Linked DNA regions of Caenorhabditis elegans. The protein of the gene in region 4 purifies or fractionates together with the protein of the main gene of each other region. This does not show direct contact. Each region holds a gene or a part of one and is shown on either strand. Other genes may lie near its edges.

Region 1 (6,444 bases), on a different chromosome or scaffold from region 4:
AGTAGTAAAAATGGAAGCTACAGATAACAAGATTAACGGTAACGCCTCTGAGACTATCAAGGAAAATGGACACTCGACGAAGGGAAACGAGGACAAGAAGATATTCGTTGGTGGAATCTCGCCCGAAGTGAACAACGAAGATTTGAGCTCCCACTTCACCCAATATGGAGAAGTTGCTCAAGCTCAAGTCAAGTACGACCGGACTAACGGCCGCTCCAGAGGGTTCGCATTTGTCGAGTTCACCACTGGAGAGGGCTGTAAATTGGCCCTTGCTGCTCGCGAACAAACCATCAAGGGAAAATCTGTGAGTTCTTGTTTTTTTTCCTCGCCTACTTAAATGGCACTAAAAAGATATAAGTTCAATTGACAATAAACATATTTCTTGTTATAGGTCGAGGTAAAGCCAGCAAAATCGAGGGAAAACAAGAAGGTGTTTGTTGGAGGACTCCCATCGGACTACAGCGAGCAAGATCTTCGCTCTCATTTCGAACAATTCGGCAAGGTCGACGACATTGAATGGCCATTCGATAAGCAGACCAAGGCTCGTCGCAACTTCGCTTTTATCGTATTCGAGGAGGAGGAGTCCGCAGACAAAGCATCTTCCCAGACAAAACAGACCTTCGGAACTCGCGAATGTGACGTGAAAAAAGCAGTTCCACAAGGAAAACGGTTCCCAGGCGCCCAAGGGCGTATGCCAGGTGGTCGCGGAATGTATGGTGGACGTGGTGGAAATAACAACTCGGGATGGTATGCTGGATGGGGACAAATTGGAGCTATGCCATACGGAGCTACTGGAGCAGCTTGGGGAGACTGGTACGGAAACGGTTATTACGGCCAACAAGGTGCAGCACATCACAACAACAGCGGATCATCGCAAGGTTACGGAAGCGGATACCAGAGTTAGTTTTGTTACTATTTGATTCCATGTCTTGTGACTCATTCCACAAGGAATGCATCAGTATACTTATTCTATCAGGTTTTGCAGGAAATAACAGTGGATTCGATTACCAACAAGCTCAAGGAGCCAGACAGGGCAACAATGGCCAACCACGCTTCCAACAGCAGCCACAACAACAAACTGCTCAAGCCCAACAGTTCTAAATGTGCCTTCAGAACATCACCTCAATCACCATCTGAAATGCCTCCATCACAGTCCTCTTCAGAATTCCTGTTTCCTTCCTACCTAATCTTTCAAAAAATGTCCAAATTGTTTTGTCCTCACGCCCAGACTCAATCAAAAGCAGTTACAAATCGACCCTAAATTTCTAACGCGCGTTTTTCTTTAATTCCTTTTTTGGCAATGACGATCTGAGATGTGTTGTTCCCGAGGTTGAATTTTATATCGAACCAGTTTGTTTTGTTTCTCTGATTCTCACCCAAACTATCATCGACTCTCAACTTTTTTCCGTTGGTAATCTTTGATTTGAATAACTCCAGGAATAATAATAACATACTTTTGTTGTTTTAGATGATGTTCTTGTGAACATAATACTTTATCCACCCGCCTTTTTAGATGTGTAGAAGTACTTTATTTCCATCAGTTTTTTCAGTCATTTTTTGTTGTTTTAATTGTTTCGCTCGTTTTTTCTTTGAGCGATTCTGCGGCAGAAAACAAACTGTATTTTTACTTCTCTTCCCTAAAGTCTGTATGCTTCGCCCCCAATTTTTGTCTTTTAGTTGTTGTTATGGTGCTTTTTCCTTTGTTCAGGAACTGGTAACCAATTAGACTGTGCAATTCACTGTAGTTGTCAAGTATATTCACATTGAATTGTGCAGTTAGTTGTTAATTTCCCTCATCTCATTGAAGTGTATCTGATGAATCGTCAGGTGTCCCGTCTTCGTCTAATCTCACAACACCCAGCCACCCAACAAAAGCTTCTCCCTTTTTCTCCTTCGTTTTTTGCCAATCTCACCCGTAAATTCGCTCCCAAAAGCCCCCCCCCAACCGATTCTAATAACTGCCTCTTCGTTTGACATGTTATTTGTTGTCACATTCGTTTTTAATGTATGATAGATTCATGTCAAACATTTGTGTTGATATTAAGCTGAGAATGAAATTTTTGAGGACTAGTTGTTCTTATATTATCATTAAATTTTTATGCTTCATGAATTGAATGCGAACAGGTGGGTTGCCGTGAAAAATATCTCACTTGGGAACAATAAACTTCAATATTTAGAAGTCAATTTTCAGATAAAATATGACTTCAACTCTAGATGCGTACATGAATCGGATGGTGAACGTGGTCACTGGTGATGGTCGGGTTATCGTTGGACTTCTGAAGGTAAAATATCTAGAAAGAAATGTTGCTTCTGCACTTGGCGACAAAGGTTCGAGCCTTTGTCAAGAAATTTCAAAAATGCAGCACATCTTGATTATTATAAAACACGAGATTTTGAATCCCAACTTTGAAGAAATTGTTCAAAAAGACTGAGCTTATGTGTCGGATTAAATAATTAAATTATGTTACCTTTTAAAATTTCAATATTTTATTCAATTATACAATTTTAGGGATTCGATCAATTAATCAACTTGGTGATTGAAGATGCTCACGAAAGGTCGTATTCTGAGACGGAAGGTGTGCTCACGACACCATTGGGACTATATATTATTCGAGGAGAGAATGTGTAAGTTGAAAATTGACGGGACATAATTTAAAAATCGATTTTACCTTGTCACGGTGCTCTGCTTTTGGAATTTATAGGTTTTCTGCGACTAAAATTAGTTGTTGATGAAGAGTTTAGAAATGTCTCTTCTTGAATATCTACTTCATTTATTCCGATGAATTTTACTTCCGAGTTCCCGTACCACCCAATCCGTGGGTCAAACGATCAACAAACCCTCGAAAACATTGGACTCGGCATGCTTTTCCTTCCATTCCGTGCACATTATCGAAAAACTGACCAATTGTTTCAATTGAGTAGTGGCGGAGCCGCCTGCTTCAGCAAAGAAGCTCTTGATCATGTACGAGAGTGTTAAAAACCAAGACAGTTTTTATTGCTCAAAATCCATGGTCTTCTCTTGTTGAGAGGAGATGTTGGACTTTTAATAAAAGACCGGGTACAAATGTTGAACATTTGGAGCATTTTATCTGGATTTTTTTTTCACATCGCCCCATTAAACCTTATAAAAAGCTTCACATCGCCTTGCTTGTTGCAAATTCGCTCTATCGCCATTCTTCAATCTTTTCGAATCTAAAAACTCGTTGGTCATTATGTACTCTCTATTTCACCCGGTCTCTCTCTTCTGTTCTTTCTTTTGGAGTGCTCTACGGACCAATTGCTTCAAATGAATTATCGATTTTTTAAATTGTCGCGTTAGAATAGTTTCTCTGTGTTAAAACAGATCGACCTAATTTCAATTATCATCAAGAGTTTTTTTTTCTATTCGATTCAATCTTTTCCGATGACATTAATCATCCGTTTTTTATAATGTTGCACCCATGCGATGATAAGATTTAATTGTGGTCGTTGACTATCAGTGCTGAGAATGGAATTTTCTCGTTCAATTCACTTCAAAACGGGTCAATGTTATCATCTCAGAAACATCAAATTGATTTTACTTCATTTCTTCCAGTTGAATATTTTCTATAACGTTCCGTCGACATACCTTCGCCAGTCAACATTGAGTCATCATTTAAAAAAAAAAGAAAGGTGCAAGTAGTCCTGGTACCTGATGTTCTATAACAACCAGATCAAGTGCTTCTGTTGTTCCTTTGATCATTCAGCTTTCGGCAGCCGTCTAAAAACATAGCAACTGGTCGTTTCTTGTGCTCTGTTACGGTCGGAAACACGGAAAAGTCGGGGAAGCATGACGTGTCAAAACATCTCTTCCAATCGTTCGGCATTTTCTCGCCCTCAATCACAATTTGATGCTTGACCAATATGATTGCCCGAAGCCTTGCAGCAGCACCAGCAATTTATTTTGTTTGTACTCTTCACATTTTCGCCGGCAACAAAAAAAAACAACGAAAGAGGGAAATAGTTATAGTGAACGAGAGAACGAATACGAAAATGGACAACGCGATGGGAAAAATGTTGAAAAAGTATCCGTTTTCCTATTCTATGTCGGAGCTTCACAACTTGCTTACTAGGTTTTCAGTTTTCAGTTTTACTTTGTCGTTTCTATCTGAAAAGCGCTTATAGTTAAAACATATTCAGTTAAGTTCCAAACGAACTAAAACTTTAAAAAAAAAACTCCTCGTTGAGCGAATGCGATTGATTATTTTATTGAAGTCTCTAAATTGGCTCTTCCAGTCTCTGTTCAATACCTAATTGTTTTCTGATTAGTTTCATTATATTTATTGATTTTTCGTTTCCGATACACCACTCTTCTCTATACTCCACTCCAAATGTCAAGTGATAAATACTCATATTTCGAAATAGTTTATTTTTGGATAGGATACCCCTTCTGGCCCTATTCATGTCCCATTCAAAACACAATTTTATGAAATCTTTTCTCACTTTTCGTCAGTGTAATATAGCTGGAAAAGATTAATGTAGACATGCGTCAAATGTCCGAAACTTTCACAATTTCACACCTTTCAATTCATTCCGTTCGAACTTTGTTCAAAGAAAATGTGATTCCATGAAAAAAGTGTTCGGAACCTGTTCTGTTTCCCTCTGGAGAGGGGTGGAGAAATTATCGGAACACTTTTTCATTGCAAAAGTTGAAACTAAACTTTTAAAGCTATGATGTATATATATATAAAGACCAATTCTGCAACTACTGTAGATTTTTCCAAATGTTTCTTTTTGAAAATCTATCATTTTTCAGAGCGATTATCGGTGAAATCGATGAAGAACTCGACAAACGCGTTGATCTGGAAAATGTGAAAGCGGCCCCACTTGCACCAATTTGGATTCCCCAATAATTTCCACACAAATCGATATTCTGCATTGACGCGTTGTATTGACTGGTTATTCTCATCGTTTCCCCCCACCATTTCTTCTCCCCATTTAAATCATTTTTCCCAAACTATTCTCCATTCTTTTCTTGTTTCCTTGACGGTTTTGTATTCATACCATCGTTTCTTTACCATTTTTGGATCTCTAATTTCCTCTCAAATATTGTGAAAATTTATACATATTTATTTGCTTTGTTTTTAATAGTTAATGTATTAAATATGCATTTATTCAAATTGCAACGTCATTGTATTTTTTCGTGTTTCAACCGTTTGTTTATCGGTTTAACATTTCTTTTTTTAATATCGTTTCCTCGTTGAACTTTGCCATTTCACAGAAATAACCTTGCAGAAAATATTCCAGTGCTCGATTTCAACGGAATATACGGATCGAAGTTGCAAAATGAGCAGTATCAGAGTGAGTTAAATAGAATGGGGAAAGGATAATTTTGAACAAGAGTTTTTGCGCGTTTTTCAACTTTCCTACCAGAATAAAAGCATAAAGTAAAAATCGATAAACATTTTTTCCAGAACCAGAACGACAATCGTCGACCAACATTCCGTGATCATCGTACACCACAATTTAGCGGTCGTGGTGGTAGTGGTGGTGGCGGACGCCGTCTTCAAAATCCAGCTCATTATCCACAACGCAGAGATATGTCGCCGATTCGCAGATCTTCAGCAATTTCACCAGTCAGACGTTCACAGGATCATCGCCAACGTTCGCCTGAAGTTCGACGTCATCGATCACCGGAAAAGGAGTCAAAAGACGCAGTGGTTGGTAGATTCACACTCACACCCAAAATATCTCTATAGTAACCTCTTCTGTAATGGAATTTGTTGGATTATTGACTGAAACTTATCCTCCCCCACCGATTTCTTCGGGGGCTGTATCTTGAAACGCGACGAATCTCATCAATCTAGGTCACATCGACTGGATCTTCACGTGGAGCCACGTCAGCATCTGTCACGTCGTCATCGAGAAGGCATGAGAGTGGGGAGAGACATAGAGAGACTCATCGTAGAGAGGATAAAGAGAAGAAGCCAGAAAAATCTACGGTTTGTAACTAAAGACTAGACTCACTGAGCATTTTTAGATCCGAATTCAGTTATTTTCTACAAAAAAATATAAATAAAAACATTTGCAGGATCGTGATGCTGATCGTTCAAACAACATTGCTGCCAGAATCCAGGCTCCAGTCGTCTCATCGTCGACCCACCACCATCATAGCAACAGGCATGAAAATCGAAAGAGCACAGCAGTGGTAGGTTTATACAGAAATTCGTCAAGCTGAGTCATTGTATTCCCACTGTCACTGTAAACGTCGTCAAATAATAAAATGAGCTCTTCAGATTTATTATGCTCATTGGCTCATGTGTCACCGTGAACATAATGGATTCGAAGTTCTTCTAAACGATTCATTAACCACATGAAAATCATATATATCTATTCATTTCCCAATACTGAAAACTTGGAAATTCTTGAATTGAAAATTCCCATCCCTGTCCAACTTCGTCTTCCTCTTCTGCTTGCACCTACAAT
Region 2 (4,476 bases), on a different chromosome or scaffold from region 4:
TTTTCGAATTTTTCATTCAACTTTTGAATTTTTCATTCAATTTACGAATTTTTTTATCCAATTTCTCGATTTTTTTTTGGCTAATTTTCCGATTTTCCCGGAAAGTTTCTCGATTTTTCGGCTGATTTTTTGAATTTTTCATCCAATTTTGTGACATTTCCAATTCGAATCCGATTCCGTACCAGTTTTGAATAATTCGAGTAAATCATAAAATTGTCCATGAATATCTCCACAAATTGTGACAGGCGACGAAACGGGCACCACATTGGCTTCCAGTGATAGACGATCGATTAATCTGAAAAAATGTTCAGTTTTTGAGCCGAAAATTGCTGAAAATTGCTTTTTTCTTACGTTGCACAAAGAGCAACAGCGTCAGATTCGGGCAAGTATTTGCATTCGCTCGCCCACGTAATCCATTGCTCCGGCTCTATTTTTCGAGATCTGGAAATGAAAAAAATTAAGTTTTGTATAATTTTGGAGCTGAAATTTAAGTTTTTTTTTAGAAATTTGCAAAAAAATTCGAAATTTTTCGCAGAATTTTTCAATTTTGAGTAAAAAAAATCAATTTCCAAGCTCAAATCGCCTAATGTAGATTTACGCAGCTCGTGTACTCCCCGAGGAGAAAAATACTAGTTTTCGACTAAAATGCTAGATTTTACATTTTCGCTGTTTTTTAAAAGTTTAACGTTCAAATCGCCGATTTTTCGCTTTTTTGGTAATTTTTATGCTGAAATTCAGCATTTTTAATATGGAAAACTGCTGGAAACGATGATTTGTAGTCGATTTTCATTTAAAATAATTAAAATGACAATTTTAATGTTAAATTGGTCAAAAATTGAGCATTTTCTCCAAAAACTATAAAAATCTTCTCCTCGAGGAGTACACGAGCTGCGTAAATCGACACAAAGCGATTTGTGCTTGGAAAATCGCATTTTTCGCTTGAAATATCCAAAATTTGGTACCCAATAAAATGCGTTGTGCTCTTTTCGAGCTCTCCTTCATCGCACACTGTCACCCGAAGAAGGTTTGTGTCGATCATTCTGAAAATTTTACGGTTTTAAATGAAAAAGAAGCTTTTTTCCTGTTTAAAATTAAAAAATATATGAAAAATGGCTGAAAACCTATCGAAAAAGTGGAAAAAAGGGAATTGAAACTCAAAAATTGTTCATTCGAATCCTATAAAACGGCGGGAAAAAGTGATTGGAGTGTGATGAAATAACGGAAAAAACAGAAAAACAATAAAAATTACTAGCTATTCAAAAAAAAACTACAAAAAACCGGAAAAACATTAAAAAACCAGAGGAAAATTAAAAGAAAATTATTTAGAGACGACTCCAACTTGAGCAGGCCGAATTGGACGTTCTTTCAGGCTGTAGCCGATCTTTGTACACACTTCGATATGTCCGACAGGTTGTTTGGCCTGAAAATGGAGGAAATTAAGCATTTTGTGGCATTTAAAAAGGATTAAATAAGCCCAAATTGTTCAAAAAATACAAGATTTGGCTCTTTTATTTCGGAAAATTCGGGCGGTTAGCACTAACATTAGCAGATGGAATCTGGAAAACGGCTTCGTGGAGATTGGGGTCGAACTTTTCATTGGTTGGATCCACGGTCACAAGGCCATGCTTTGCGAATGTCTTTGCCATGACAGTACGGGTCATTGAAACTCCTTCGAAAAGATCTTTCAGAGCTTTTCCTCCCGATTCCAGATCTTCTGGCTTCACAGACTTGACGGCAATGTCGAGAATATCGGAGACCTGCAAATTTGGAATTATTTTAATTGTTTTTCGGTTGATTTTGATTTTAAAAATCGAACCTCAAGTAAATCTTTGCAGAATGATTGGATTGCAAAAACCTTAGCATCGTCGGTTTGCTTGATACCTCGCCGACGAACATTTTCAGTTTCAGCAAGCGATCTTTGATATTTATCCTTAAAATCCAAGCTTTCGGCCTGCAAATCGTCGTATTCCTTGAGAAGAACATCAAAAGCACCCTTTGGAATCTGTGTCTTGTCCTCGCCGGCAATCGAAGTAAGAACAATTTCTTCATAGTCGGCTCCTGGTTTTTTTTTAAATATTATATCAGTTTTTAGAATTTAGAATTTGTTTTAGAGTAAAAATCGCTACCTCTGAGTCTCTTTCCGTCTTTTCTAATCTCATAATTGACTTCTTCCGATGATTGTGATGCCGTGGCGCTGAATCTTTGAATGCGCAAGTTTTTCTGAGTTTTCCTGCAATGAAAAAATTTGATTTTCACCGTTATTCAAAATTCAAGGAACTTACAGCGTTTGTTGAACAGCCTGGCCGACGAAAGACACTCCTTTGCGCAGCATATTGTCTGAAATTGCCAAAATTTGAAGAAATTAGGAATAAAAAACGAAAAATCGGCGGAAATTGGTAAAAAACGAAGAAAAAATTAATAAATTTCATCATGACAAGAAATGCGCCAGCACATGACTCAAGTGCGCCAGTAACGTGCTGGCGTGATTTTCGTGCGTGTCTGCGTCTCCATGCTTTGCACACTCTTTTCGAGGAGTTTTTAAGCGGCAATTTAAAGTGGAAAAGGGCAAACTGTAGCAGTTTTTTCTTAACTTTTTCTGCAAAAATCTGTGTATTTCCGCAAAAAAACACAGCAAATCCAACAAAAAATTTATTATCAATGCTCTAAAAGCCTTAAACACAAAAAAACCAAGATTTGTCACTTCTTATGTTCGCGTTCTCCATCAAAATCTGGTCGCTTCGGTACAAATCGATATTTGACAATTTTCGAATCATCTTTTCCATCAGTCACAGGTTCCAGGTGAGCTTTCGCGAAATGCGGTGATGTGACTGGAAATCTGGAGCATCCTCTGAACGTGACGCTTTCTCTGGATTTCACGTAACTCGGCGCATGTCGGCGCTGACCTTTCCATTCTGGGGGACGCTGAAAAAAAAGTATGTATTATTGCAAGTGCGCTCCAGTAAACTGAGCGATTCCGGCTGTCACTCACTCTTAAGGCATTCAAAGCACCCGGACTTGGAATTGCATATCGAGCTGGCTGGGCTATTGGTTTTGGCACATATCTCGGAGCACTTGTGCTGGTAGATCCACTGGAAGAGCTGCTGATTGGCTCAACACGAGATCTGTAAAGAGTTGAGGAGATATCCGGCATGTCAAAATGATCTGATTTCTTCGAATTTTCGGGCGGTGCAGAGCTTCCGGTGGTTGAAGAACTACTTTGAACTTCTTTTGAATCAAATATATTGTGAAGTGCTGTGGCAATGTCGGGCATCTGCAATAATTTTCCATTTTTGCCAGTTTCATATTCAAATTACCGCCAAGAGACTTTGTTCAATAGAGCGCGCTTGCATTATTTTAATTTTTGTTTTTTTTTTCTCATCAATTCTCTGAACTTCTTCATTTTTTGTGAATTTTCACTGAAAATTTGAATGAAAAGTCAAGATAAATGCAAATTGTTCATTAGCTTTTCAAATTTTCAGTAAAAATACACAAAACATGAAGGAATTCAGTGAAATAATTAGGACAAAAAAACAAAAACAAAAAATAATGCAAGCGCGCCCCATCGAACAAATCGTCTTGGCGGATTTTTTCATTTTCAAAAGTTTTTTATTGAAAAAACCTTAAAATTTGACTTTTTTTTCCTGAAAAATTGAAAAAATCGATACTGACAGATTGGCAAAATTTCGCGGAATTTTAAGTAAATTTTTTAGCAATTTTTTTCGTTATAACTAACAGGAGATTTCTGGCTTCCGAGAGCTCCATTATCTTTCTTTTCTGACTCAAATCCTCCAATTGTACTCGAAGAACTATTCATTTCGTCCGATTCCACCACCACGTGAGATTTGTAAGGCGTTGAGGAAATATCCGGCATGTCAAAATGGGCTGATTTCTTCGAATTTTCAGGAGTTGCAGAGCTTCCAGTCTTCAAAAACGAGCTCATTCCTTCTGACTGAGCTTTGTAAGAGGCTGAGGTGAAGCCTTCTGGCTTGATATAGCGAAATTCTGGTCTCTTAATATATCCTGGAATAAGCTTCAAGTTCCTGGAGTTACTTTCCGAGCTAAAATTGAATGGTTTTCCTGAATTCACCACATATCTAACTTCTCCAGTGTTCAGCTGATCCGAAATTTGTGTTCGGCCTGGAGGGCCTGGAGATGCTGTGATGGGCTTTCTGGAGCTGCTGCTGGTGCTTTCAAAATAGAACGGCTTCCCATAGCACGCAGAACTTGTGCTGGGCTGATCAGGCTTCAGATATTTCGCTAGAGGACTTCCGAAGTCACTTGAATCTTCCCCATCCTGGGTTCTGTCAGACATCAATGAAATATCCTCTGGATTTATCAGCTTTACATCAGGCTTCTTCCTTGGTGTAGGCTTTTTGATGCCGACTTTTTTTTCGATTTTATCAATTTTCCATTTCACTTCCGACACGTCTTTCCGACTTTTCTGCAGCTCTTTCTTGAATAAATCTGCGAATTTCC
Region 3 (7,087 bases), on a different chromosome or scaffold from region 4:
TGACATTTCCGATTTAAAATTCTTGTTTTTACGCAATTTCTGTATTTTTTTCTCTTTTTCGTGAAAAAATCGATTTTTCTGCAAGTTTTGCCAAGTAAAAATCGAAAAAAAAACCTCGAAAATGAGCTGAAAACTGCTCATTTTTTCGATTTTTCTTGTTAAAATGCAATTTTTACGCTGTTTTCCAACTTTTTTCCCAATTTTTTCCAATTTCATGTAAGATTTAGCGCTTTTAAACGTTTTTTAAAGCAGTTTTCTCCGAAAAATTGATAAAAAATCCCTCACCACAGCTTGGCGAGTGCTGCAACCCGCTGAAAATCTTTTTTCGGCGGTATTTCTGTACTAAATGCCCGTACGGTGGAGGCTGTAGCCCATCTCATCTGAAAATTTCGCGATTTTAGCCCAGAAAAATGGGTCTCGACGCGACGAAATTTTTTTTGTTAAATTCGAAAAGGTATGCGCCTTTAAAGAGTACTGTAGTTTCAAATTTTCATCAATTTTTCGGGGTTTTCGAATTTTTTTTTTTTAATTTCGAAAATGGATGAAATACTGCGATTTTTGAGCAATTTTTAACCCAAAAAGTGCAAAGTTGTGCATTTTTCAGCTCATTTTAAAGTTTTTTTAAATTTATTTTAATTCAAAAAAAAATTGTAGAAAAAACTTCAAAATTAGCTGAATTTTATTGCAAATTTTATCGATTTTTTTTATTTTTCAGAAATTTTTTTAAATCGAAAAACTGTGAAAAATTCGAAACTACAGTAGTCTTTAAAGGCGCATACCTTTTCGCATTTAACAAAAATTCCCGTCGCGTCGAGACCCAGAATGTCGTTTTTTTCGAAATATTTAGGTTCCTAAACCGGATTTTTTGGTTTTTTCTCAAAATTAAAATTTTTCAAAAAATAAAATGAGACATGCGTTTATTCTTCTCTGGAATTTTTGATTTTAAGATTTTTTGTTACTAAAAAAGAGGGGGGGGGGGGTCACAAAAAACAAAAAAAAACTGTATAAATTATCATTTTCTATAATAAAGAGCTGGGGGTGCGGGGTGATATGAGATTTTTTTTGCATTTCATTTCAGAAGCTATATAATAAATAGTGAGCAACTTTTGTTGTTGATTTCACACTGGTGTCGATTTTAAGGACAAAAAAGAGCTATGTATTCTAGTGAGTGGGAGCTGGTGTGTGTGGATAAAGTGAGTGAAAAAATGGCGCCGGGACGAAAAAAATAAGAAAAAAAAAATAGTTTTTAAAAGGGGAGCAGTGTGAAAAAATGGGGACTTTTGCTTTAAAATAATCGAAAAATAGGCAAAAAATTTTTTAAAAAAAGTGAAAAATACGTCAACCAATCAGCGATTCGCTCCGCCCATCATTCAACCAATCAGAACGCGTGGGCGGAGTTCGAAGACGCTGATTGGTCGGGGAGTTCACATTTTGGCGGGAATTATAAATTTTTCGCATTTTTTCAAAATTTCGGAATATTTGCTTTGAAAATTTTCAAAAAATCACCAAAAAAAACGAGATTTTCTGCGACCAATCAGCGATTCGCTCCGCCCATCATTCAACCAATCAGAACAGGTGGGCGGAGTTCGAAGGCGGGAATTCAAAAATTACGAGTTTAAAGTTATATTTTTCGCCATTTTTTTTTAATTTCCGAATGTTTTGCTATAAAAAAATTCAAAAAAAACAGCGACCAATCAGCGCTTCGCTACGCCCAGTTTTGGACCAATGATTGGTCCGAAAGTGGGTGGAGCGAATCGCTGATTGGTCGAAAGTCTCATTTTGGCGGGAAATTCAAAAAAAGCGGTTTTTAAGTAGAGTTTTTGATTTTTCGTGATTTTTCTTTTTTTTTCAAATTTAACATAATTTTAGAAATTTTTAAGCAAAATTCCCAAAATTCACACTACTCAAATAATCACACAGTTCATCATGGGGCAGGTGGATGGGTGGGAGGAAGCGAGAGAGAGAGAGAGAGAGAGAGAGAGAATTAGAGAAATAAGAGCGATGAAAAAAATCGGAAAAAGACTAGAATTTGAGCCCAAACACGGCCCGGTGGTCCATTTATCCATTCATTCCACGAACTTGTCCACTCTTCCTTTGCTCTTCGAGCTCTTTCTGGGCTTTTGCCTCGATTTCTCGAATATCGACCATTGTAAGGCCGTGCCATTTATCGATCCAGCAGAATACTTCCCGATGGAATTTCGAGAACAGGCGAGGGTATTGCTGAAAAATTTGGGATTTTTTTGGAGAAAAAATGGAAAAAAGCTGAATTTTCTAGAAAAAAAAACCTATTTTTCTGGGAAAGTAATGGAAAAATCCGAGATTTTTTGGCGAAAAAACCGTTTTTTTAAAGGAAAATAATGGAAAAATTATTTTTTTTTTTGGAAAAATCTGAAATAAATCTGATTTTTGAACATTTTCACGTGAATCTCAACAAAAATGTCCATTTTTCAGGTAGATTACTGGGTTAACAAAAAAAAACATTTTCGAAAATTTTACTTTATAGGATTTTATACAAAATTGCGCAGTTTTCCAGCTTTTTTTAAAATTAAAATTCAATTTTTTCGCACTTTTTGAAATTTTTATTAAATTAAGCAATGTTTTGGTTTATTTTTTTTATTTTTCATTTATAAAAATTTTCAGCGAAAAAGATGGAAAAAAATTTTTACGAAAATTGTGCATTTTTCAGCTCGATTTCTACATTTTTCGTATGCAATTTTTCGAAAACTTCTTTTTTTTTGCGGTTTTTTAAAGAAAATTTCTCCAATTTCAAGCTAATTTTTGAGATTTTTTAAATAAATTTATTAATTTATCGGGTAAAAATCCACTTTTTTGAAAATTTCCACGAGCATTTATGCGAAATTTTTCCATTTTTTCAGCTCGGTTTTCAGTTTTTTTCCGGAATTGTTCGAAATTTTGCTCGAAAATTGAAGAATGGCTGTGTAAAACCTCTTCCACTTAAATTAGAGGTTTTCTAGGTTTTCCTTTTGACTTTTTGGCAATTTTCGCGGTTTTTTCACATTCAAATTGGCAGTTTGTTAGGTTTTTAGGTGAAAACTTTATTTATCAGATTTTATTTATTTAATTTTATTTACATTTATCAGATTTTAAGTGAAAATTGTTGATTTTCACCTAAGAACCCTATAAATTGTCAATTTGAGTATGAAAAAACCACGAAAATCGAAAATTTCAGTTTTAAACTTTGAAATTCTTCTCCTCGGGGAGTACACGATCTGCGTAAATCGACATAGGGTTATTCTACAAATTTCAAACAAAAAAAAGCTCGTTTTTTGAGCATTTTCGCCCATTTTGTCGATCCACGAAATCCTCTCGTAATCTCACCGTATGCGCGTAGTTTTCGACAATTTTCTGGAATCCAAACCACTTGAAATAGACTGTAACAAGCTTGTAGGCACACATTACAGGCTGTACACTATCCTTCCAATTTCCAGATAAAGGACCGCTGAAATTTCAGATTTTTTTAATTTAAAAACTGAAAAATCTCAAGGTTTTTCCCGTACCGCCCGGTTTTTGTGCTCTGAAATTTGGATGGAGTGGAGTCTGGATGCAAATCTCCGGAATTCAAATACTCGTGATCATTTGCAATATTAATATTGACAACTTCTCGTTTCGCCAGCTCATCGCCCTTCAAACCGTGCGCATTTTCGGTCGTTCCGTTGTCCGGCAAGTGGATTGTCTCAATTTTCACATAGAAATTCTCTTTCATATAGTCTGGATTCGTGACAACCGTCTTACAGTACGGATAGGCATTCCATGCTTCTTCGTGGATAGCCAGAGAACCTTTTGGCGCGATTTTTCGCAAAATTGCCGGGACTTTCCTGAAAAAATTGATTTTTTTTCCAATTTTTTTCGCAGAATTAAAGAAGAAAATCCTACGATTGAAGATGATAAATCTTATGAGTATATTGTCCTTTCGTGAATTGTCCATTGAGCAGTGGAACATTGTCAAATGGCTCATTTTTGAGCACTTCCACACCTTCACCGCCACCCGTTTCGGCTTTTGAGGCCTCGGCCACAGACCAGAGCTGGCCTACTTGGTACTCTTCGACGGACATTGGAAGCACAACTCGGCTGAAAAAAAATTTTTTTTTTTGAAAATCTGGAAAAAATCCAATTTTTTTGGGAAAATCTGGAAAAATACGATTTTTTTTTTGAAAAAATCTGGAAAAAATCCGATTGTTTTGGGAAAAGAATGGAAAAAATCTGGAACAAATCCGATTTTAATGGAAAAATCTGGAACAAATCCGATTTTAATGGAAAAATCTGGAACAAATCCGATTTTAATGGAAAAATCTGGAAAAATACGATTTTTTTGAAAAAATCTGGAAAAAATCCGATTCTTCCGGGAAAAATCTTGAAAAAATCCGATTTTTTTGGGAAAAGAATGGAGAAATCCGATTTTTTTTTGTTGGAAAATCTGGAAAAAAACCGATTTTTTCCAGGAAAAATCAAAATTTTCGTTAAAAATAAAAAAATCACTTACTACTCCTTGATAATCATTCTTGCGAGTGTCGAATGAGGAGGAAACCACCTGAAAACTAAATTTTTTATGCTAGTTGCCATGGAAACAGCTTTACGGAAGATTAATGGGTGGAGAGCATGCGAAAATCGATTTTATTTTTGCATTTTGGAAGGTATTCGAGAAAAAGAAGAAAATTATTGCGAAATTTCGTAATTTGAAGGAAATTCACAAAGATTTTAACGATTTTTAGCGGGAAATTGAAAATTTTTGGATTTAAAAATAAAAAATTGATCGAAAAGTTAAAGGCGCACGGAGTTCCAATTGCCGATGGGTCTCGCAGCGAACTACAAAAGTTTGATAAATTTTTGAATTTTTTAAAGTTTTTTAGTAAAATTAAGTTGATTTTACCAATATTTAATATATTTTCTAACGTTTTTAAATAGAAAATGACAATATTAAATCGGAATTGGAAATTTTAACGGCGTCTCTCATGAAAAATACAAAATTCTCCCAAACAATGCGAAATCGTAGAATTATTAGTCATCATGAATAGAGAGAGAGAGAGAGGTGTTGCGAAATTTTTCTCATTTTGAAATTTCTTGAGGGAAAAATGGAAAAATCACTCAATTTTCCGTGGGAAAAGCGAAAAAAACGAATTTGAGAAGGGCAGTAATCGAAGGCGCATATAGTTTGAAGAGACTCGGGTCTCGCAGCGATCTACAGAAATTGTAATTAATTTTCAAGTTTTTAAACTTTTAAACAAATTTAAGCTATTTCTAGGTGGTTTTAAATGAAATTCTAACGATTTAATATTGAAAACTTGATTTCGAAGTGAAAATTAAGATTATTTTTAATTTCCGATTGGAATTCCGAGAGAAAAGCGAGCATAATACACGAAAAATCTTGAAATGGTTTTTAAAGGTGCATGGTCTTTGAATTGGCTCGGGTCTCGCGACGATCTACAAAAGTGTGATGAATATTTAATTTTATTGAATTTAAAATGAGTTTTCAGAAGGTTTTAACGATTTTCCGACCAATTTTCAGTGCAAAAACTGCAAAAAATGACGTGTTAAGGTCCATACACCCGCAAAAAACATAAAAACAAAGCGGAAAAAAGAAAAAAAAAAGACAGACGAAATAGATGAAGCAATAAGCGCAGCAACGAGGAGAAAATCGAATGCTTTCTGTGTTTCTGTCTCACTTGCCGACTCACTAGGCACGCGAAATGCGCAAGCATTCCTCTCGGTGACTTCGTATACTCTCTTCTCGATTAACAGCAGGGTTCGAGCCTTTCTTGGAAGAAAAAGAGGAAGAAATATTCGTTTTTTTTTCCTTTCTTTTAACGTTTTTGGAAGAAGGAAGACGGAAAAAAGATGGAAAATAGTATTAAAAATGGCCTTCCCCAAAAAAAAGAGGGCGGCGCGGCGAAAAATCGATAACACCCGGGACGGGGGGAAAACGGAGGAGAAAAAAGAGCTGGAGCAGAAACTAAATATGTCATGTTTGTGGAGTAGCGTGTGCGCTGTCAAGTTGAGAGAGAGAGGCTATATAAAGTAAAAAGTAACGACTATGGAGAGGAGCGAAATGGGTTGGAAAAACAAGTGACGGATGACATTTTCAATGGAAAATCTGAAAAAGTGTGAAGCTGGCGCGAGAATCACCATGGAAATGAGCGACAAGTTTGGGGCAGATACACATAAATCAAATTTCGACTTGCGGAAACAATATGAAATCGATTTTTTTGACTTTCCCCTATTAAATAATTAAAATTCAAAAAAAAATCGAAAAAAGCTGGGTTCAAGTGGTGCCAGGCTGTCCCATTACGGTTTGATCTACAAAAAATGCGGGAATTTTTTGCCAAAAAAAATGTGACGTCATCACGTTGTTAACCATGCGAAATCAGTTGAGAACTCTGCGTCTCTTCTCCCGCATTTTTTGTAGATCTATGTAGATCATGCCGAAAGAAGGCACTTTGACACCACGTGAATCGGTAAAGAAATGGAAAAAAAAAATCAAAATGCAGGAATTGAGACGCAGAGTTCTCAACTGATTTCGTATGGTTAGGAACGTGCTGACGTCACATATTTTTGGGCAAAAAAATCCCGCATTTTTTGTAGATCAAACCGTGATGGGACATGCTGATACTACGTGGTTATGCGCCTTTACACAGAGTACGGTACCTTTGGCCATTAAAAAGCGCCAAGAAAATTAGACTATCTGCTGAAAATCGATTTATTAACTTCCAAAAACAATAAAATCTAGAAATTGGAAGATTTTCTCTGTAACTGTAAAAATCTCGATTTTCGTCTGAAAAGTTAAAAATTGGCGATAAATTGGCTATTTAGGCTTAGGCTTAGGTTTAGTCATAGGCCTAGGCTTAAGCATAGGCTTAGGCATAGGCCTAGGCATAGACTTAGGCTCAGGCTTGGGCTATTGCTTCGGCCTAGGCCTAGGCTTAGGATTAGGCTTAGGCTAAGACTTAGGCAGATGCTGAGGCATAGGCTTAGACCTAGGCTTAGGCTTAGACTTGGGATTAGGCGTATGCTTAGGCTCAGGCTTAGGCATATGCTTAGGCTTAGCCATAGGCCTTGTGGCTTTCTGCAGGAA
Region 4 (5,281 bases):
CCCAAAATTTGTCGGTACATTACATGGATAAAGAAAAGATGGTATCATTTTAAGTTATCGTACCATTAAGCCTAGTTATTTTATTAAGGCAGATAACCAGCTCAATCCAGATATTTTTATTTGGGCAGGAGGTGTAACTGCCAACTCAGAAGTCTGGGCTATGAATAAAATGCTCCAAATCACTGAAAATAGTGGAATTAAAGTCAACGACGCTTGCGAAACCTCACTTCCTAATGTTTTTGCATGTGGAGATGTTTGTGCACTGACTACCACAGAACCATCAACTCTTTGGCAACAAGTTTTATAACCATAGATTGAGTGTTAAATAAAGTTGAAATATTTTAAGAGACAATTGTGGACACAAGCACGTCAGCAAGGAGAAGTGTGTGGAAGAGCGATGGTGGCAGGCGTCGAAGAGGCTCGTATGCAGAATATGTATTTCGAACTGTTCTCGCATTGTACGACTTTTTTCGGGTTAAAGGTGAGATAAATAACAATTTGCATGGTAATTGTCGAATTTTATTTCCAAACACTCATGAAAAAAGAAAAATAAATAATACAGTCAAATTTTTTTGCGTGTAGTTGGAAACTGTTAACGATAACGAAAATTGGTAAATGAGACCACAAGAAACAGAGGTCGATAATTTAGGGGAAACAATAGGCATTTTACTCCATCAGCACAATGCCGGGTAAAACGAAGGTGGAACTCATATTTAGTTGAATGCATAGGAGGGTACATGGAATCAATTGGTTCGGCCTTCGACTGAAAATAAGAATTTTTGAATGGGCGTTGGTATATATAAACTCACTGTAGGTAGAGACATCGATCTTTTCTGGGAGCTCAGTGATGCTGATATCGAAGCGGTCTTGAACGCTGTTCAAGGTCTTGGCGTCATTCTCATCAGAAACGAAAGTGATGGCCAAACCCTTGGTTCCAAAACGACCAGCACGTGCAACTCTGTGAAGATACGAGTCGGAATCTTCTGGCATGTCGTAGTTGAACACGATGTTGACTCTTTCGATATCCATTCCACGTCCAAACAAATCGGTGGCCACCAAGATTCTCTTTTGGAAGTCTTTGAATGCTTGGTATCTTGAAAGTCGCTCTTCTTGAGCCATTTGACGATGAATGGCAATTGATGGGAAATTTTGTTCTGTGAGGAGCTGGTGGAGAGCTTCGCAACGTTTTACGGCCTTGACGAAAATGACGACTTGGTTGAACTCGAGTGCATCGAGAAGATTCAGCAAACGACGGTTCTTCTCGGCTTCCTTCAGTTTGACGTAATGTTGCTGAAGTCCGTGCAGAGTGAGCTTGGCTTCGTCGTCGACGTAGACTTCCATTGGCTGAAAAAATGTTTTAAGGTCTAGAACGGCAGCACGGTGATGAATCGGGGGCTGGAACGTGTTTTGCAGTACATGTCACGTGTTCCCGACAAGTCTTTCGACCTATTAGCAATCAGCTTCGCTGAGGCGAGCCAGCTACCTCCCCCGAGGACGATGGCTTCTGCGTGGCGAGAGGCTTAACAAGATGAGATCTGAAATCCGAGAAATCAAAAAGCGACTTCGGAATTAACGACCAACCAAGTTCTGGCCATCTCTTTCGCATCACGGAACACACATGACTAGCATTTTGGTTTGATACATGTTTTTTGTTTCAAAAAAGTGAACAGCGGTTCCGTAGGTTCCGGATCAGAGATAAAGCGTACGTCTTGCATGAATCGCTTGCAAACAGTGCGAAGCTCCTTTGGCAATGTGGCGGAGAACATCATCACTTGCTTCTGTTGTGGAGTCATCTTGACGATTTCTTGAACATCCCGACGCATATCTGAAAAAGTTCAATAATGATTCCTATATTTACAAGTATTTCTTACCAGCATCTCCGATCATCTTGTCGCACTCGTCCAGGACGAAGTACTTGACTTTGTCAAGCTTCAGCTTGCCAGAACGAGCCAGAGCCAACATTCTTCCTGGAGTTCCAACAACAATGTGTGGACAGTCATTGGCAAGGCGTTCCTCATCTTTCTTGATGGCCATTCCACCGAAAAAGACAGCTACCTTGACTCCTGGGAGATATTTGCTAAATCTCTCATACTCCTTGGAAATTTGGAATGCCAACTCGCGAGTGTGGCACATGCAAACAACAGATACCTGAAAACAATGATTTATTGAAATTTGATGTATTACTGTTTACCTCGCCATCCACTGGCTCCAGTTGTTGAAGAGTGGTGATTACAAAAACAGCGGTTTTACCCATACCGGACTTCGCTTGGCAGACAACGTCCATTCCAAGAATGGCTTGAGGAATGCACTCATGTTGTACTTCCGATGGATGTTCGAAACCGCAGTCTCCGATGGCACGAAGAATTTCTGGCTTCAAGAGGAAGTCACGAAATCCGGAAGAATGAATAGAAGCATACGTTCCTTTAGTTTTTCTGGCATCGCCTCCGCCAACTTCTGGCTGCTTGTCTTGGATCTCCTCCTGCTCCTCTTCGTAGTCAAGAAGTTGTTCCTCTTCCATTCTGAAACAAAAAAAAATAAAGGTCTTCATAAAAAGGGGCTTGAGATTAATCCTAATTTCACGAAGAAAATAGAGAATAGTGTTTAACCTATTAGAGAAAGTCACAAATAGAACAATCAAAAGAAATTTAGTAAATAACCTCACAAAAACAGATCAAAACAGGAAAATGCAGAGCGGTTGCTCCTCATGAAGAATAAACCGCGAAACGATACCCATTCGAATATTTTCGACGCGCGACGCACACGCAACGCGTCGCTTCGTATGGTCTCGCAGCGAAGTAATTAGCAATGGGCGGGTGTTCAAATACGAGAGGGGGAATGTGGCTGTAAACAGCTGTCCAGTGCACAAGACAATATTAGTAGCGAAACGATCCGAAAGATAGATGTGTGCAAAGAATCATAGAAAAACAAATGTTCTTTCAGGTGGTGTTTCTTGGAGACTACAAACCAGAGAGACAGGTGGAAGGAGAATGGAAGATTGTATTGAGGTACTGTACACTTTTTAGATTACAATGAAACATGCTCTAATATTCAGAGACGCCGATAACGATCAACTCGTTCGATGTGTAGTCGTCAAAAATAAGATTGTCGGTGCCCTTCTAATTGGCGAAACTGACATGGAGGAGACACTCGAAAATCTGATTCTCAACAAAACAGATCTAGAAGGCATTTCAGAAACATTCTTGGAGCCGGGAGTTGATCTCGATGATTATTTTGATTAGATTATTATTATACTGTATGATGTTTATACATTTTGTTGTGTTTGAATAATATTAAACCAGTTTTCTACTATCTTTTTCACATCTATACATTTTCTGCGTCTCCATCTCTTTACCACGTGGAATACACCAGTGCTAGTCGTATTCTCCTTGCTCTCTTACACTCTTTTTCTCTATCAAATGCGTTGGGACATTGTCACATTTTCATTAGGGTTCAATATAGAGCCAAGTAGTATTGATTCAGGTTCAATTTTCATACGATATAAACTACAGACACACTCGTATTATAGATATACGACATTTCCAAAATATCGCCTTTCCGAATTGCGAAGAAATACTTGTAGTAAATGATGCATCAGAAGATATAGGATCTTGTGGAAGTGCATTGAATGCATTAATAAGAACTGCTGAAAGGCTATGCTACAGGAATAATTTGACAGTACTCACAGAATCCGTCTTGCAAGACGTGAACGTGTTAATTGTTTTGGTGGTGAGTACTTTTTATTATTTCGATAAAATAGTAGAATAAAAATTATAATTAATTTCTTGGACATTGAGAAATAGCTGTAATTATAATTGTACAATGAAATAGGCATAAATACATTTTTTGTCTCAAGTTTCAATATTTACGGTGGCGTGTAGTAAAACATCTTAAAACGTGTTGAAATTTTCCATTTTTAGTCAAAAAGTGATGATAATAGAGTTTTCGCCATTCACAATTTTGGATGCCGACCAAAAAATAATAATTTCTACGAGCTTAATATTTATTGCGTTTCAACTGTATGTTTTAAACATGTTTTAGAACACTTCTGGGTTAAAACCTGCATCAATGCTCAAGATTATTCAAAAAGCCAATACATTTGAAAATTTGGGAATTTGTCAAAACGTTGTCTGAAAAAACTTTTTTAGAATGTTTTATTATGCTTTTTCGTTACTTTAGGTTTATTTAAACTGGGATTATATGAACACTCAACTATCTATAGATATGTCGCAGGGGTTACTGTTGTTGGCAGTTTTCAGAGCGATCCCCGAACACTTCAAAACGCAAAAGACAATTCAACAATAAAGGGTGGTAATGGATATGTATTTGACACTTATTTGTCAAATTCTGTCAAAAACTGTTCAAAAATTGCTGCAAATTCAACGCATACAGGGGTATGGATTGTTGGTAGCGATGCGTCATGGAAGCTCGAAAAGGAATTGAACATGTTTGATCTTCCGCAAGATTCTATAACTGGGTTTACATTTCTGGAGAAGAAGAATCAGCTTGATCATCATGGATGGTATATTGTTGATAAAGATAACAAATTGTCTGGAATGGAATTTGATGGAGAATACGCTGGGAAACATTTTGAAGAATCCAGTCATGTAATTCTCGGCTTCATATATCTTCCATTGAATGCTGCTACATTATTCTTGTCACTTTATTCGGAATTTCCAGTAGCAGCAACCACTTATCTTGGAGTAGATTCGAACGTTACACCATTGAAAGTATGTCTTGATTTACCATCTTTCACTTTTGATAGCCATGTTTCAGTTATCACTTTTCTTTGATTTTTTTCTAGCAACGTGTACTAGTGAAGAAGAATTTATCAAAAATAAGTTGGGAATTCATGAAAAAGTATCTGAGAATGTGCAAGATCGGACAAATGCAAGAAAACAAATTTTCAAGAAATTTCAAGATTTTAAAGGAAGAGTCGGTAAGTTACTGAATTGCCGTGCCTTTAAACAAATTTGAGATATTTTTTGTGCTATTAATTTATTTTGAACATTTGGGCAAAACTATAACAATATTGTGGGAAGATTACGAAACTTATGAACGGTAGCTCTTTAGTTTCGGTCGTATCGAGACCAGACATCGTATTTTGAATTAAAAATCACGAGATTCCGCAATCGGGTTGATTGAAAAAAAGCGGAAGACATCTGTTCCTCCACTGAGACCAGTTGAATTCTCACAAAAACTAGACTTTGCAATATTGTAACTTTAAACTATTTTCAGAGGTTCTGGATATAATCGAGTATCAATATAAGAAGTTTCCCGAACA

Evidence for each region.
Region 1: the proteins of hel-1 (region 4) and lsm-8 fractionate together in Caenorhabditis elegans (co-fractionation; one large-scale study listed by BioGRID). This does not show direct contact.
Region 2: the proteins of hel-1 (region 4) and C34C12.8 fractionate together in Caenorhabditis elegans (co-fractionation; one large-scale study listed by BioGRID). This does not show direct contact.
Region 3: the proteins of hel-1 (region 4) and Y54F10AR.1 fractionate together in Caenorhabditis elegans (co-fractionation; one large-scale study listed by BioGRID). This does not show direct contact.

What each region holds. Positions count from the first base shown.
Region 1 is NC_003282.8:6,324,335-6,330,778, forward strand, and holds lsm-8 (U6 snRNA-associated Sm-like protein LSm8), read left to right. Parts: upstream 1-2,191; 5' UTR 2,192-2,198; coding exon 2,199-2,282; intron 2,283-2,509; coding exon 2,510-2,625; intron 2,626-4,774; coding exon 4,775-4,871; 3' UTR 4,872-5,145; downstream 5,146-6,444. Other genes in the region: sqd-1 (RRM domain-containing protein), read left to right, coding at 11-304, 392-899, 977-1,101; Protein seu-1, read left to right, coding at 5,305-5,319, 5,433-5,678, 5,826-5,960, 6,050-6,166.
Region 2 is NC_003281.10:3,458,267-3,462,742, reverse strand, and holds C34C12.8 (GrpE protein homolog, mitochondrial), read right to left. Parts: upstream 2,338-4,476; 5' UTR 2,333-2,337; coding exon 2,283-2,332; intron 2,231-2,282; coding exon 2,127-2,230; intron 2,059-2,126; coding exon 1,817-2,058; intron 1,758-1,816; coding exon 1,542-1,757; intron 1,421-1,541; coding exon 1,319-1,420; 3' UTR 1,153-1,318; downstream 1-1,152. Other genes in the region: pph-6 (Serine/threonine-protein phosphatase 6 catalytic subunit), read right to left, coding at 183-295, 352-441, 963-1,039; C34C12.2 (Fibronectin type-III domain-containing protein), read right to left, coding at 2,698-2,922, 2,990-3,271, 3,734-4,476. UniProt on the Caenorhabditis elegans protein: Essential component of the PAM complex, a complex required for the translocation of transit peptide-containing proteins from the inner membrane into the mitochondrial matrix in an ATP-dependent manner.
Region 3 is NC_003281.10:2,571,168-2,578,254, forward strand, and holds Y54F10AR.1 (Phosphatidylinositol transfer protein N-terminal domain-containing protein), read right to left. Parts: upstream 4,519-7,087; coding exon 4,502-4,518; intron 4,090-4,501; coding exon 3,895-4,089; intron 3,837-3,894; coding exon 3,519-3,836; intron 3,461-3,518; coding exon 3,340-3,460; intron 2,221-3,339; coding exon 2,059-2,220; 3' UTR 991-2,058; downstream 1-990. Other genes in the region: Y54F10AR.2 (Mitochondrial genome maintenance exonuclease 1), read right to left, coding at 286-380.
Region 4 is NC_003280.10:8,326,352-8,331,632, forward strand, and holds hel-1 (Spliceosome RNA helicase DDX39B homolog), read right to left. Parts: upstream 2,520-5,281; 5' UTR 2,519-2,519; coding exon 2,192-2,518; intron 2,149-2,191; coding exon 1,872-2,148; intron 1,826-1,871; coding exon 1,707-1,825; exon of another isoform or gene 1,582-1,706; intron 1,536-1,581; exon of another isoform or gene 1,345-1,535; coding exon 810-1,344; intron 764-809; coding exon 744-763; 3' UTR 501-743; downstream 1-500. Other genes in the region: C26D10.3 (Pyridine nucleotide-disulfide oxidoreductase domain-containing protein 1), read left to right, coding at 1-41, 89-298, 347-481, 2,941-3,005, 3,053-3,239; C26D10.4 (GHMP kinase N-terminal domain-containing protein), read left to right, coding at 3,417-3,480, 3,527-3,726, 4,257-4,727, 4,774-4,936, 5,236-5,281.